2 linked regions of the Caenorhabditis elegans genome follow. The protein of the gene in region 2 interacts with the protein of the main gene of each other region in a pairwise test. Each region holds a gene or a part of one and is shown on either strand. Other genes may lie near its edges.

Region 1 (7,846 bases), on a different chromosome or scaffold from region 2:
TTGTACTTGTCGCGTCCGGCCTTTTTGTTCTGAAAATTTAAAAATTTGGAATCGGGCCGGCAGGTTTTTCGGTTTTTCGATATTTCGGTTTCGCTCAAAAAATCTAAAAAATTTAGGGTCAAACTTGTTCAAAAATAAGTAAAATTTATGTTGCTTGTTTCCGTAAAGGAAATACCGAGTTTGGAATGTTTTCAGAAATGTTTTCGGTTTGTCTGCAAACAGAAAACACCGAAAAAACTCAATTTCTGTACTTCAAACAATTTTAATATCATAAAATTATTTTTAAGCAAAATTTGTTTTTAATGGCTTTTTAATGATTTTTAATGATTTTTTTTATTTTAAAATAATCCGGAACTCGATATTTTTTAAAGATTTTTGCGTTCTTCTGTTTTTTTCCAAATTTAATTTTTAAAAAATTGTATTTTGATCGCAGTCCGGAAATATTTTTTAAAACTTGAATTTATGAAAAAAATGCAGGTTCTAGAAAATTACTGTAAATTTTGAATGCTAAATTCTCTAAAACCATCCATTAAAACGAGTTTTTTTAAAATACGAACCTCCATATGCAGAACGTCGTAGTCAGTGACAGCGTTCTGATCTTTAACACTGTCAAGCTCGCGAGTCAACATATCCAGCTTATTCTTGATCTGAATGTTCTTCTCGGCTGCTGTGACACGCTCCAACTCGTGTTGTGGCACATTCTGATCAGCGTCATTTGTGAGTTCTGGAAGATAAAATTTGAAGATGATATTTTTTCTCATAATCTCTCCCAATTATTTTAAATAAATAAAAAAGGCATACCAGTTGCTCCATTATCTTCATCATCAGTGGCAGTCTCATCGTGAGCGTGTCCATTGGAAACGTGATGACTGTTTGAGTAGTGTTGAGTGTGTTGTTGCGAGTGAATCTGAATTTAAGAAAAAATAATTTTGAAATAAAATAAATCCAGAGTTACAATCAGGGATTCCGTTTTTTTTGGTTTTTTCGGACAAGAAAACATTTAAAAAAATGTTTATCAAAAATTTTATGTTTTAGTTGGTATGACGAAAAATGAACATTTTTGTTTTTTTTTGTTGGTTTTTTGGAGAAATTTTAAACAAAATTTGTTTGTTTTTTGGCCGAAATTTTTGTTGCAACATCACTGCGTACAATTAAAAAATCTCGCTTTTAAAGATCGGATTTTTTATTCTTTCACAATTTTTTTTAGTTTTTTCTTTTTGTATCTCTTTTATTGTTGCAAATTTTTTTTTTAAATTAAGCTTTTTTGTTACAGTAATCAACTAATTTCAGGAATTACTGCATACTTTTTTTCATTTTAAAATTTTAAAACAGTAATTTCAGACTGAAAATTACTGCTCGATAATTGTTAATACGGTATTTAAAATAATTTTTTTAAAGAGAATTTTTTGTTTCTATTTTAGTTTCAAAAATAAAAAATACCTGTGTCTGAAGTTGTCTTGTAACAGTAGTCTGTCTCTCGACTTCTTCTCTCATCGAAAAAACTTCACGTTCACGAGCATCAACTTGGTCTCTCAAATGACGTCTCTCACCATCACTCATTGCTTTTTCGGATTGAAGTTGAGCAGTGAGCTCACGAAGTTCGTATTCCTTCTGTTCCAATGCTTGTTTAGCCAATTGCAATTGCTTGAGTTGAGCCTCCAATGAGTGAATTGTATTGTGTGCTTCAGCCAATTCAAGACGAGCTCTCTCCATATCTTCCTGCATTTGAGCCATACGCTTTTCGGCGTCACGTTGACGCTGTTCGGCTTCTTCGCGAGCAGACATCTCCTGTACGATCAAAACAGATTTGAGTGAAAGTTTTTTTAGAAATTATTTGTAAAAACATGTTTCAAAAATTTCCGCAACTTACTCTGGTGAGCTTCTCCTGCTCGGCAATCTTAAGAGCACGATCCTCTCTGGCTTGTTGCTTCATTTGTTGAACTTCAATGGTATCTGGCTTTCTTCTACGCATGTAAAGCTCGTGATTTCCCATACACAAAGCAAGAATACGTTTGTTGATACGGAGTCGTGGAGCGTAGAAGACAAAGTCCTGAAAATTAATGATAAAAATGAAGACGAATAATGAAAAACATTTTTTCGATTTTTTTTTCAGCGAAAATAAGAATTTTTTTTCGATTTTTCTAAAATCAAAAAATCGGGGAAAAAATGTTCAGAAAAATTACAACAAACTCAATTTCCACAAAATGTTCCATCCATCTCGAAATTTGCGATTTTTGATACAAAAACACATTACTCGATATCGAGGCGATCGAATAAATTTAAATGAAAAAGGATGTGCGCATTTAAAAAGTACAGTAGTTACCGTTGAGCTGATTTGAAATTTTCATAGATTTTTTCTAAATATTTTTATTGTAAAAACCTTTTATTTTACTTTTGTTAGTGAAACTAATTTTTATTAATTAATAAACTAGAAAAATCTAACGAAGTTGGAAATCAGAAAGGCCTGGAGCTACTCTACTTTTTAAAGGTGCACACCATTTTGGTAAATAAATTTATTCGGTCGTGTCGAGACCGAGACCGGGCACCATACTTTTGCCTCAAAATCGCAACATTCCGCATCTGGTCAATGATTGTGATATTTTCACACCCCAAAAATAAGAAAAACCAACAAAAAAATTTTAAATCAAAATTCAATGTTCCATCGATTGCTTCTTATCACCACCACTTCCAACTACTATCACACAATTTTTCCGTTTTTTCCGCAGAAATTTTGCCAACAAATAGAAGCTTGATGCCACGACAAACTGTGTGTGACAGTAATCACTTACATGAGCCTTCTTATCAATTGGTTTGATGACAAATTTCTTGTCGTTGAATGATATATTACGAATCTCCGACCATGGGAATCCGACTTTCGGCGAAAGACGATCAGCTTTATCGTAAATATTCAATCCAAGAGCATCGACACCAAGATAGAGATCAGTTCCCTTTTTGTTGCGGATTTCAAAGTACTGAAATTAGCTTTTTTTAAAACTCGACAGAAAAATGAGAAACAGTACATTGACTCCATACATCTCGAGATCTTGTGCAATTTTCAAATATTCAAGCATAGCTTGTTCACGTGTAGTTGCACGATGATCTGCCCACCATGTCATAATACGGCGTTCCCATTCCTCACTGTTCAATTTGAATTGTCCGAGAACGCGTTGAGGAAGCAGACTGGAATGAAATAATTAATTATTTTTGGCATTTAATATAAAAAGTTTACTTTTTTTTAACTACTTCTTATTATATACTTTTTTATTGATCATCTAGATCTGGAACTTTCCCTTCTTTATTCTAATCTCATTTTCATGTGATAATTATGAATTGTATGAGTACTGTGATACTGTGAAATTTCACTACATAATTAAAAATGAATTATCGCAGAAAATTATTATTTTTCTTATTTTAGTAATCTTGATTGGAATTTTGAACCGCAAAGATATTTTTTAATAGTTATTAATAATTTTTTTAAAAGCTAATTTCAAGAAAAACTCACCGATCAGCAGTAAGACATCCGGCGACATGTGTCTCTGGAACATAGTCTCCATATTTAGCTTGCATCGCGTAAGAGGCAAGAAGAACAGAGGTTTCCGGTGGACAATAAATCTCATCTGACAGAATTCCATCTTTCACTTGGAGATAGAACAAACGCTGAAAATATTTTCATTTAATTAAGGCTTAATTTCAGTTAAAAAACTTCATAATTTTTTAACTGTATGTTCTGTACATTGAGATTGTTTTCTGACATTTTAAAAAACCATACTCCATTTTCAACTAATGATTCTGAAACCCAATTGTTCCCTCTTCCAAACAAAAAATTCTGCAAATTTTGCAAAAAGTTCAATTTATATTCTCTTCCCCTCATATTTATCGTTTTGAATCATTTTTTGATTATTCACACATGCCATTCTCCTCTTCCTCTTTATGTCAGTTATGAACATGAATATAAAAAGAGCAAAGAGACAGCAACAAACTGAGAGTTTTTTCATTGTTTCCATTGATATGAGTCATCGGAACAGAATTTAAGTCAGTCTATCTATTCAAATTCAAATGCGAAATATTATTGGAAATCTAAAAAAAAGAGAAAAAATCAATTTACTTAACCGGAAGTGATATTTATATTTTTGAATCATTTGAGAAAGTGCTCAAAAAAGGTTTTTTTGTGAATTAGAAACTTTCAGACCATTTTTGTGCATTTTCTCAAATGTTTCAACTGAAAAATGTTATTTTCATAGAAATAAAAGTATTTTTCTATATTTAAAAAAAAAAGAAATTTTTACATTAATTTTAACAACTGATCTAAATTTGCATATAGGTACTAAATCAATTTGCATATAGGTACTAAATAGCTATTCTACTGAAATCTTCAACTGATCTTGTGATCCTATTCAAACAAAACAGACCACCCAGATCAGAGATTTCCTGTTCGCAGTCGGAGGTTCTAATAGGATGCTCATTTCTCCTCTCAAAAAAAGAGTCTCGCACACACAGTGTCTTCCCATCGATGTTTACAAACCATTAAACAATCTCTTTTTGTGTGAGACAAAAAAGTGGCTCGGAGGTAATCGGAAACCACACTCTCAATGGGAGAACCTTTTTTTGAAACGGAAGGGAGAAAATGCCCATGTTTACACTTGTCACCATCAAAATATTTTGTTTTTAGGCAGTTTATTGAGGACCTTGTGAGCACATGAGCCGTGGAAATTTTTGAGCAGAAGAGTTTTTTTTGCTCAAATAAAACTGGTTTAAAAAATTCAAAAATTCTTTATAGCGAGCCAAAATTCTCAAAAAAGAGCCAAATTTTCCTAAATCGGAATGCCATTTTATTGAATTATCACTGGCATAAAAAACTTTATTCTAATTTTAGCAAAAATATCGGATTTTTTTAACAGAAAAAATATCGGATTTTTTTCAGAATTTTCACTGCTTTAATTCATTTTCGGGCATTTTTTGAGAAATTTCATTTTGAAATTTGGTCGTTTTGGGGTCTTTTTAAGCAGGCCAGCTTGTAAGAAGGTACTCTAAAACCACAGAAATGTATTCCTTACCAAAATTTTCCCCTTTTTTTCTATTCTTGAATATACTCCAAAGTTATTTCCTATTGCTTGCCAACATTGCATTACATGCATAAATGGCACGGGCATTCTCTACTTATCAGTTACAAATCAGAAATAGCACAGGAAATCAAGAGAGTCGCCAGAGAATGTCAGAAAAGCGAAAAGTGAGAATTACAACTAAAAATCAAATATTGGCCAGAGGTAATGGAAAATTTACAGTTTTTTTTTTCCAAAAAATTAAATATTTAAAAAAAGGTGTCAAACATACCATAGTGACATCCTGGATAATCTCCTCGGCCACATCTTCCGGATAGAATTTGGCGCGGAATTTGAAAACAAGAGTCGGGTCCTTCTTAACGTCCTGAGACAAGACTTTCTTGTTCAATTTCAGCCATGTTGGGAATCCCTTGTTGTCAGTGTACTGAAGTCCAAAATACCAGATCTCGCGGAGACCAATGGTTTTGACAACCTGCAAAAATTAAAATGAAGGAATTAATATTGCTGGAAAATTCGAAACTCAATTTCAAGAGCTGGAAATTTTGGATTATTTTTTTCAAATTTAAATCGTTTTGATTTAAAATTTCTAATGGTTAGTGAAAATTTAATGTTTCAGAAAATTCTGATTTTTTTTTTGAATTATTAAAATTTATCCATTCTCCAATTTAATAAAAAAAGTACTTTTTAAATATAATAAAACAAAATCATCTAACCTGATCAAAAAGTTGCTTTCCTGTGGTGCTCGACTGAATAGCGAACTCGAGCTCCGAGTCCATCGAGGTGACACGCACATTGATCTGAAACAAGAAATAGTTGGATTAGGCAAAAATAAAATCGATTTTTCGTTATATTTTTTCTTAAATTTCTAAAAAAAATTTTTTCAATTAACAATTTACATCGCCGGCCGCAACCATTTTTCTATTTTGTGTTCCACAAGTTTGAACTGCTGGACCAATTGATATGAAGAGGTTAGCTTAAAATTTTTCAGTAAAATGATATAAGAAATCTTGCATGAAAATCAGAAATTCAAAATAAAAAAAAGAGTGAAACTTGAGAATTTAAAATTCTTATCTAAAACTAAATGATATGAGTTGTCACTCTCTCTCCCTGTATACAGCACAAAAACGGAGTGAGAAGAACTATAGACCGCCCGTTTTTGTACAGGCTCCGCCTATTTGTCGGTTTGCACACATACATGTGCGCATTTCTTCATAGAAGTTTCGGCAGAAAAAAAAAGAATGAAATGATATTTCAAATATCATCAATTTTGAGTTTATTTCGAGTTCAAAATTGTTCGCGGCTCTACTTCGTAAGCGTAAAAATCTGAATTGTTTTCTAAAATTTTTTAAATTAATTTTGTAAAAAATATATGTTTTGTATTTTATTTCCCACTTATATGTTTAAAAAGAGGCGCATTTATGCAAAATGGTATTGAAACCCTCTATTTTCGAAAATTTCAACAAAACCTCAAAAATGAGTCCATTTTGCAGAAATATGCCTCTTTATAGTCTTATAAGTGAAAAATAAAATACAGAGTATATTTTTAGATCGATAGATTCTTATTTTTTAAAAAAATCGGCAGAAGTCGTGCTGAACAGAACATAATTTCCGAAATATTCAACATTTCACAGTTTCAAATTTTTTCCATTTGTTTTTAATTAATGGCGGCATTTTTTCCGAAAGAAATAAGAAAATCGCAAATTTAAACAGTGTTTTTTTTTATTTGGCCGTAAAAGTTTTAAATTATTTGAAGCTACATTTTTCAAACTTACCGCTTTTTTCGACATTATTTTAGCTCTTTTTGATGTCCGAGTCGAAGATGGATTGGGGTGAGCGGTGAGAATTCACGAAACTTTTCCACCGAAAATCTTCGTCACTTTTTTCTGCAAGAAAGTAAAATAAGATGTGAAAATAGAATTCGAATGAACAGAGATTTCAAAAATTCATGAGAAATCAGAAAACGGAGCGAAGAAAACGAAACAAATGAGTTCAAGGTTATGAATTTTAAATTTTGAATAGAGAAATCTAATTTTTCAATCATTTATCCGAAAATTCAAAGTGACACATGGAAAATTGTGTATATTTTAGGGGGATTTATACATTTGGCGATTAAAAAAAATCAATAAAACTCGAAAAACAATAAAAAATGAGTCATCGTCTGATTCAAACCCGTTCGGATCCGTTTTTGGCGCGTTCTGCGATTTGCCACTGCACGAGAATCGCGCCAGCAGGGCGTTGGCGCGATTCTCGGGTGCCTGGACAGTTTCTTGGGAGTTTTGGCGAGTTTGAGTTTTTTTTAATGCTTTAATTATTTTAAAGAAAAAGTTTCATGAATCAAAAAATTATTCAGAAAAATATGTGTCACAGGTGGGAATATTGATTTTGATTTACAGGTACAGGGCTATTATTTCCGGCAATTCTACAAAATTATTGGGCTATGTTGTTCCAACGTTTTTCACTAAAAATTAGTGTCAAAATATCGAAAATCACTCGATTTATCTGGAAATGAAACATATTTTTAGCTGAAACATTTGAAGAAATGCTCAAAATCGGTGGGAAAGTTGCAAATTGTTAGACAAAAAATCTGATAATTCGATAATCGGATACTGGCAATTTTCAGGCCATTTTTAAAAGCTTTCTTAAATGTTTTAGCTAAATTGAAGTTTATTTTCAGACGAATCAAGTAATTTTTCGATATTTTAACACTAATTTTGAAAAATGTTGAGATAACATGACAACAAAAAATTTGATGGAAAAAGCCAATAAAGCACACAAACTGGCTTAAA
Region 2 (5,251 bases):
TGACGCTAATAAAAGATCAAGCATGCACATTAAGTGGAAAGTTATATCGAGTTGCAACCGAAATTTGAGTTATTGCTTTTATTTTTTGCTTGCAGAGCAGTGAAAAAGAAAAACGAGAATGTGTACTTGCGATTTGAAAAATATGTACATAAATCAGTTTTCCTAATAACTCTGAAAAATAATTGTTTTTCTTTATTAGTATGGCATGAATGAGAAATTTTTGAAAAATTTTAGAAAAGTTAAAAAATACTAGTTTTCATTTTCTAGAGGTAAAATTTTATTATAAAAATAAGGTCTATTGAAAAACAAACTATGAGCCTAAATAAATTATTCAAAAGTAGACCAAAACATTTTCACAAGTGAGGCTGTAAAGTGCAATATAAATATTTACTAAAAGTTTATGAAAATTAACACAAAATAGAAATGATGATGTTATCAGGTGTTTCTTTGTGATTTTCCTATAAAAAGTTGAAAACCTGGAAGGGTTTCTAGAGCAGTGTTCTATTTTTTTTACACATTGGTTGTTTGTTTTCAATGACCTGTTAATTCCGAATAAACAGTAGTTTTTGCTAATAGTCAGAATGTATTCTTTTTAATAACTGTTAAGAGCAATATTTAATTAAATAGTATCTTTTTTTGTTCACATGTTAGATTAAAATAGGAAAAAAGTTCAGATAAAGATCAGAGGAGCATTGAACGCAAGTTGAACATTTAGATAAATACCAAAAACATTGTTGGACAAAGCAAGGCATTAAAACGTGTAGGAAAAACAAAGTTCGTTGAAAGAATAGGCACATACAGAATGAAGACAATCGGGGTATAGTGTGTGGATCAAGAGCTAATCGAAACAACTGGACAATATAAATAAAATGAAAGAGAAATGAGTGGTGGGGGGGGGGGGAGGGCAATACAGCCAGTACTCTAATATCGACGGTCTGCTGTTGTAATTTGCGTACGGCTAGATTCAAAAACCTGATAGCTGGGAGTGTATGTTCTTGGTGCTGCAATTTCTCCGCCGCGGGCCCTGGAAACGAGATATGGTGCCTGGTAGTGGTCGAATGAAACATATAATTTGTTGGTTAGACCAGTACAAATTATTGTCCTAGGCTATGTAAATTCGGTGCGAAAAGTGTAATATAATCGATAAAAAGATCAATGATATTATAAAATCCAACACGAATAAGATCAAATTTCGCAGACTTTGTTGCTGTCTGTTATACAAAGACTGATCCTTGGACAGGTCTTCTCACCTGGACAAAGTGTTATCGTATCCTATCAAGATGCCTTCCGAATTTCTCTGCATTTCCTGCAACATTATTGTTTCTTTATCTTTCACCTGATTTGTAGATTGTTTCATTTTGTTCAACATGCTAAATGTAAATAAAATGCAAAATAAAATGAAAAAATAAATTAAGAATATGTATATACATTATTTATTAATTGCAGTCTTTCCAAATTGAAACAAAACCAAATGCGAATGCAAAACCAATAAAAAAATGAAATCGAGATTGACAGGTTTCATATTGAATATTATTACAAACTTGCATGTTAGTATCAAGGTAACAAATGTGTGTATTGTGTTAGAAACGTATAATTGGAGGCTCCCAAAGAGCAGGGGGCTGAAATTAGTTAAAGCAATTTATAACAGTTGCTCACAGAATTAATAGCTTCCACTACTGTCACTATACTCTCTGTCAACTTTCACACTAACATTAAATCCTTTGGCTGGTTGAATGTCAAGACTCTCATTCATTCCATGAAGTCCTACGAAAATCTTATAGATCCAGGCTCCAATGATCGAACCGATGAGAGCACCAACAATTGGAATCCAGAAATAATATCCATGAGCGCTGAAAACTTCCCAGCCATATCCGGCACAGAGGCAGAAAACGCGTGGTCCGAAGTCACGAGCTGGGTTGATTGCAAATCCGCCGTTAGCTCCAAAAGTCATTGCGACCTGCAATTATAAAATTATAAAACTTTTAGTGAGATGTGTACATTAAGTGCATACCATGCTCATAATACTTCCAGCAAGAACAGGAACAACACCGGTCGGGATTTGGTGGCGTTTATCAGTGATAAGACAGACCAAGCCAGACAGCATGGCTGTTCCAATAATCTGCAAGAGAGAATGTACTTGATGTATCATTAAATCAGTAGGTGTTATGTTATATCCGTCAGCAACCTCAATTACTCAAATTGGTCAATGTCATTTTTTGATTTCTGATCAGCAGTGTTCTTGAGAAAAGCAGAAAAGGAGCGTGAAGTGTTCTCGCGTTTAATTCTTATAATTTGATTACAGAAAAGTCAATCAGATCTCGTTTTTTGATGATCGACAAAACCAAGTAACTCAAACCACTGTCTTATGTAGTTTATGTTTTAGAGGGCGGTTGCAAAAAAAAAAGTTGAACCGATCTGTCAGCAATTACCAAACGGATCAATCATAGTGTGTCGCGCTTAATTTAGATGTGCAATTGAAAGAGAACCGCGTTCCTAAAAACGTCGTTTCGGTCTAAAAATAAACTAACCTGGTCGAGAAGACTTCCCCATACTGACATGTGATCCGGTGGGAACGTGGTGAACAGTCCAGCGGTGGCTTGACCTCCAGTCACCTGACGGATGCCGCCGTCCAGCTTCCACAGATCGTCTGTAATTTGGATAATTTGAAACTGATGACTTACAGAGGATCAATGGACTACATTATATCCCATGTATGGGCCTAACTATGTATAAACATGGATCAGAAGTTGCCAATATATTGGCAAACCTTTGGCAGGCTTGGTCTAGGTTCTCGGCGCTCCAAGTTTATCTTGTGCGCAGTCTTAGCTAAAGGTTTTCCTAATTTTTTTTTCAATATTTCAGATAATTTATTATTTTTAGTCCAATCTTTGACAAGAATCCAGCGCCACAATTATTTCAACCTAATTATATCACTCATAGTAGCAGAAATCAAGATTTCACAGCTAATTCACACAATGCTCACACGAACAAACTCATTCAAACTAACCGTGATGTCCAAAATAGGCAACAGCTGCGCCGAGGAATGCTCCAATAACTTGAGCAATGGCATATGGAATGATCTTCCATGGAGGCAGATTTCCGAGAATGCTTTGTGCGACGGAGATGGCTGGATTCAAATGGCCTCCAGAAACACTGGCGGCAAGATAGACTGCGAACATGAACCCGATTCCCCAGGCAATATGGCAAGACGTTGAGTTACCACCAACTGCTACAGCAGCTTGAATGTTGGCTGCATTTCCGATAAGCTGAAATATAGGCGATTTTCAGATTTATTCCTAAATGTATGAACTTACCAAGAGGAAGAAGGTTCCAATGCATTCTGCTAAGAGCTCTCTTGTGAATTGTTGATCTTCAATTCGCAATATACTGGCAACTTTGTCTTGAAAGACACCCATATCTAAAAATAAATAAATTATAGAAACGGATCGCAGAAAAAAAAGAAATGGTAATGGACGGAAAATGTCCTTATCTAGAAGGCGTGCGCTGATTTTAAATAGGGAAGTGGACACTGTCGAAACTTCAGAATGGGCGGGATGTTACGGTAGGCCCTGATATTCTACTAACACGAAAAATAGATAAAACAGAGGCGGGTGAAAAGTTTTTGGGTTTGGGAACTACTTATCATAATCCAGATTGATTGACTCGCAATTCCAGTATGCAAATTTTGGCAATCATTTTGCGGTTACGCATTCAACAGTGAATCATATACAACTACTATAAACATTTAGGGGTGCTCAAGTTACATTTTCATGGCTATAACCTAATTGTGTCTAAAATGACTTTTGGAAATTTTCAAAGAATTTTTTCGAATACCTTTCACATGACTTTTTTGTATCAAATTCAATTATGCGCAACATCTAAAAGTTCAATTCCAGTTCGGATTCAACTAGTTCAGAGGAATGTTTATTTTTCGTAAGAATAATAATGAGTGCAAAATATGAATTCACACACCGACAGGTCATTCATATTTTTATGCGTTGTCTGGACCAGACTCTGGAATGCAAGTTTGCGCCTTTGCACATCGTGATAGCATTATCCAATTCATAACTTCAATTGTTAGGAATATCAAGTACTAAAAACTATTTTTAATCGTCTTATTGTCCCGGAACTTTTTTTTTCAATAAATTCCGATTCTTCTGAAGTCAGGTGCATGGAATTGAAGCGTCCAATAAAGGTCGAAACCCAAATCAAATGACATTGAACATCAGTTATCAAAGTTGCAGGAAATGGCAACTTTCAAAGATTGCGCAAAAATAGATACCCATCTTTCTTTTTTTTTCTCAATTTATTTTAGAAATCATCAAATTGACTTTCACAAAAATTTAATATAACATGAAGGTCGTTAGAAGAAGTGAAATTTGATTTTTTGGACAGATAAGATAATTTTTAAATCTGGAAACATTTGAAAGTCCCGGCGAACATTTGAGATTCGACCTTAATAATTTATGTGATCTTCTCATCTTGTAGTCGGAAGTTATGATATCAAAAGTCATTTTTCATTATCTTTAATGTGTATTTAAGGTTATTGATAGAAATAACCATTGAAGGTCACATGTAATAACTCAAAGTACAGGTCGTTGAATGAAGATGCAAAAAAACTTTCCAGCCCAATATTAGAATTGTTCCTGATGTTATGGCGGATTCTTGGATATCAAGTCAATCTTGATCTGGTGGCTAACAAATTTGACGAATTTCGTGACTAATTGAGGTTTTGAGGTTGCTGCTGTAGAGATAACTTTGATGAAGTGAAAGATAAAATGCATCAGGAACACACGAAACATCCTTAAGTGGAACACGGAAAAGGATAAGATTTCCATAATTTTTGTCAGCATCTGAAATATGGAAGAGCATTAATTGAAAACTCAAAATAAAAAATAAAAAATTGGTTTTTTGAAAATAATTTTGAAATTTTTTTCATCTTTAGCAGAGGTCATAATAGGAGGCGAGCATCCAATTCAGATAACATCTCTCAATTTATTGAAACGTTTCTAAGAATGCAAGAAACTTTGAAAACCTTACGGAGCAATAAAAATCACAATTTGGGCTCTAATATTTCCCAAATAAATTAAAATAAGACAAAATAAGACAAAATTCTTGAAGTAAATTCGTTCCTAGACTAGACAAGATCGGTTCAAAAACAAATTTATTACTTCCAACATTATTGTTCTCCTAATACTATTAAGCTTTACATTAAATTAATTATAATTTATCATTTTTAGTTAGAAAACTT

Evidence for each region.
Region 1: the proteins of aqp-8 (region 2) and erm-1 interact in a two-hybrid assay, tested with the Caenorhabditis elegans proteins (one study listed by BioGRID).

Annotation. Positions count from the first base shown.
Region 1 is NC_003279.8:5,284,662-5,292,507, forward strand, and holds the start of erm-1 (Moesin/ezrin/radixin homolog 1), read right to left. Parts: upstream 6,034-7,846; 5' UTR 5,975-6,033; coding exon 5,957-5,974; intron 5,858-5,956; coding exon 5,774-5,857; intron 5,533-5,773; coding exon 5,332-5,532; intron 3,658-5,331; coding exon 3,503-3,657; intron 3,181-3,502; coding exon 3,021-3,180; intron 2,973-3,020; coding exon 2,790-2,972; intron 2,051-2,789; coding exon 1,871-2,050; intron 1,789-1,870; coding exon 1,441-1,788; intron 908-1,440; coding exon 802-907; intron 725-801; coding exon 558-724; intron 30-557; coding exon 1-29.
Region 2 is NC_003284.9:4,701,553-4,706,803, forward strand, and holds aqp-8 (Aquaporin-9), read right to left. Parts: upstream 3,419-5,251; 5' UTR 3,417-3,418; coding exon 3,315-3,416; intron 3,267-3,314; coding exon 3,008-3,266; intron 2,648-3,007; coding exon 2,529-2,647; intron 2,120-2,528; coding exon 2,012-2,119; intron 1,958-2,011; coding exon 1,712-1,957; coding exon of another isoform or gene 1,661-1,711; exon of another isoform or gene 1,413-1,660; intron 1,307-1,412; coding exon 1,251-1,306; intron 1,025-1,250; coding exon 922-1,024; 3' UTR 571-921; downstream 1-570.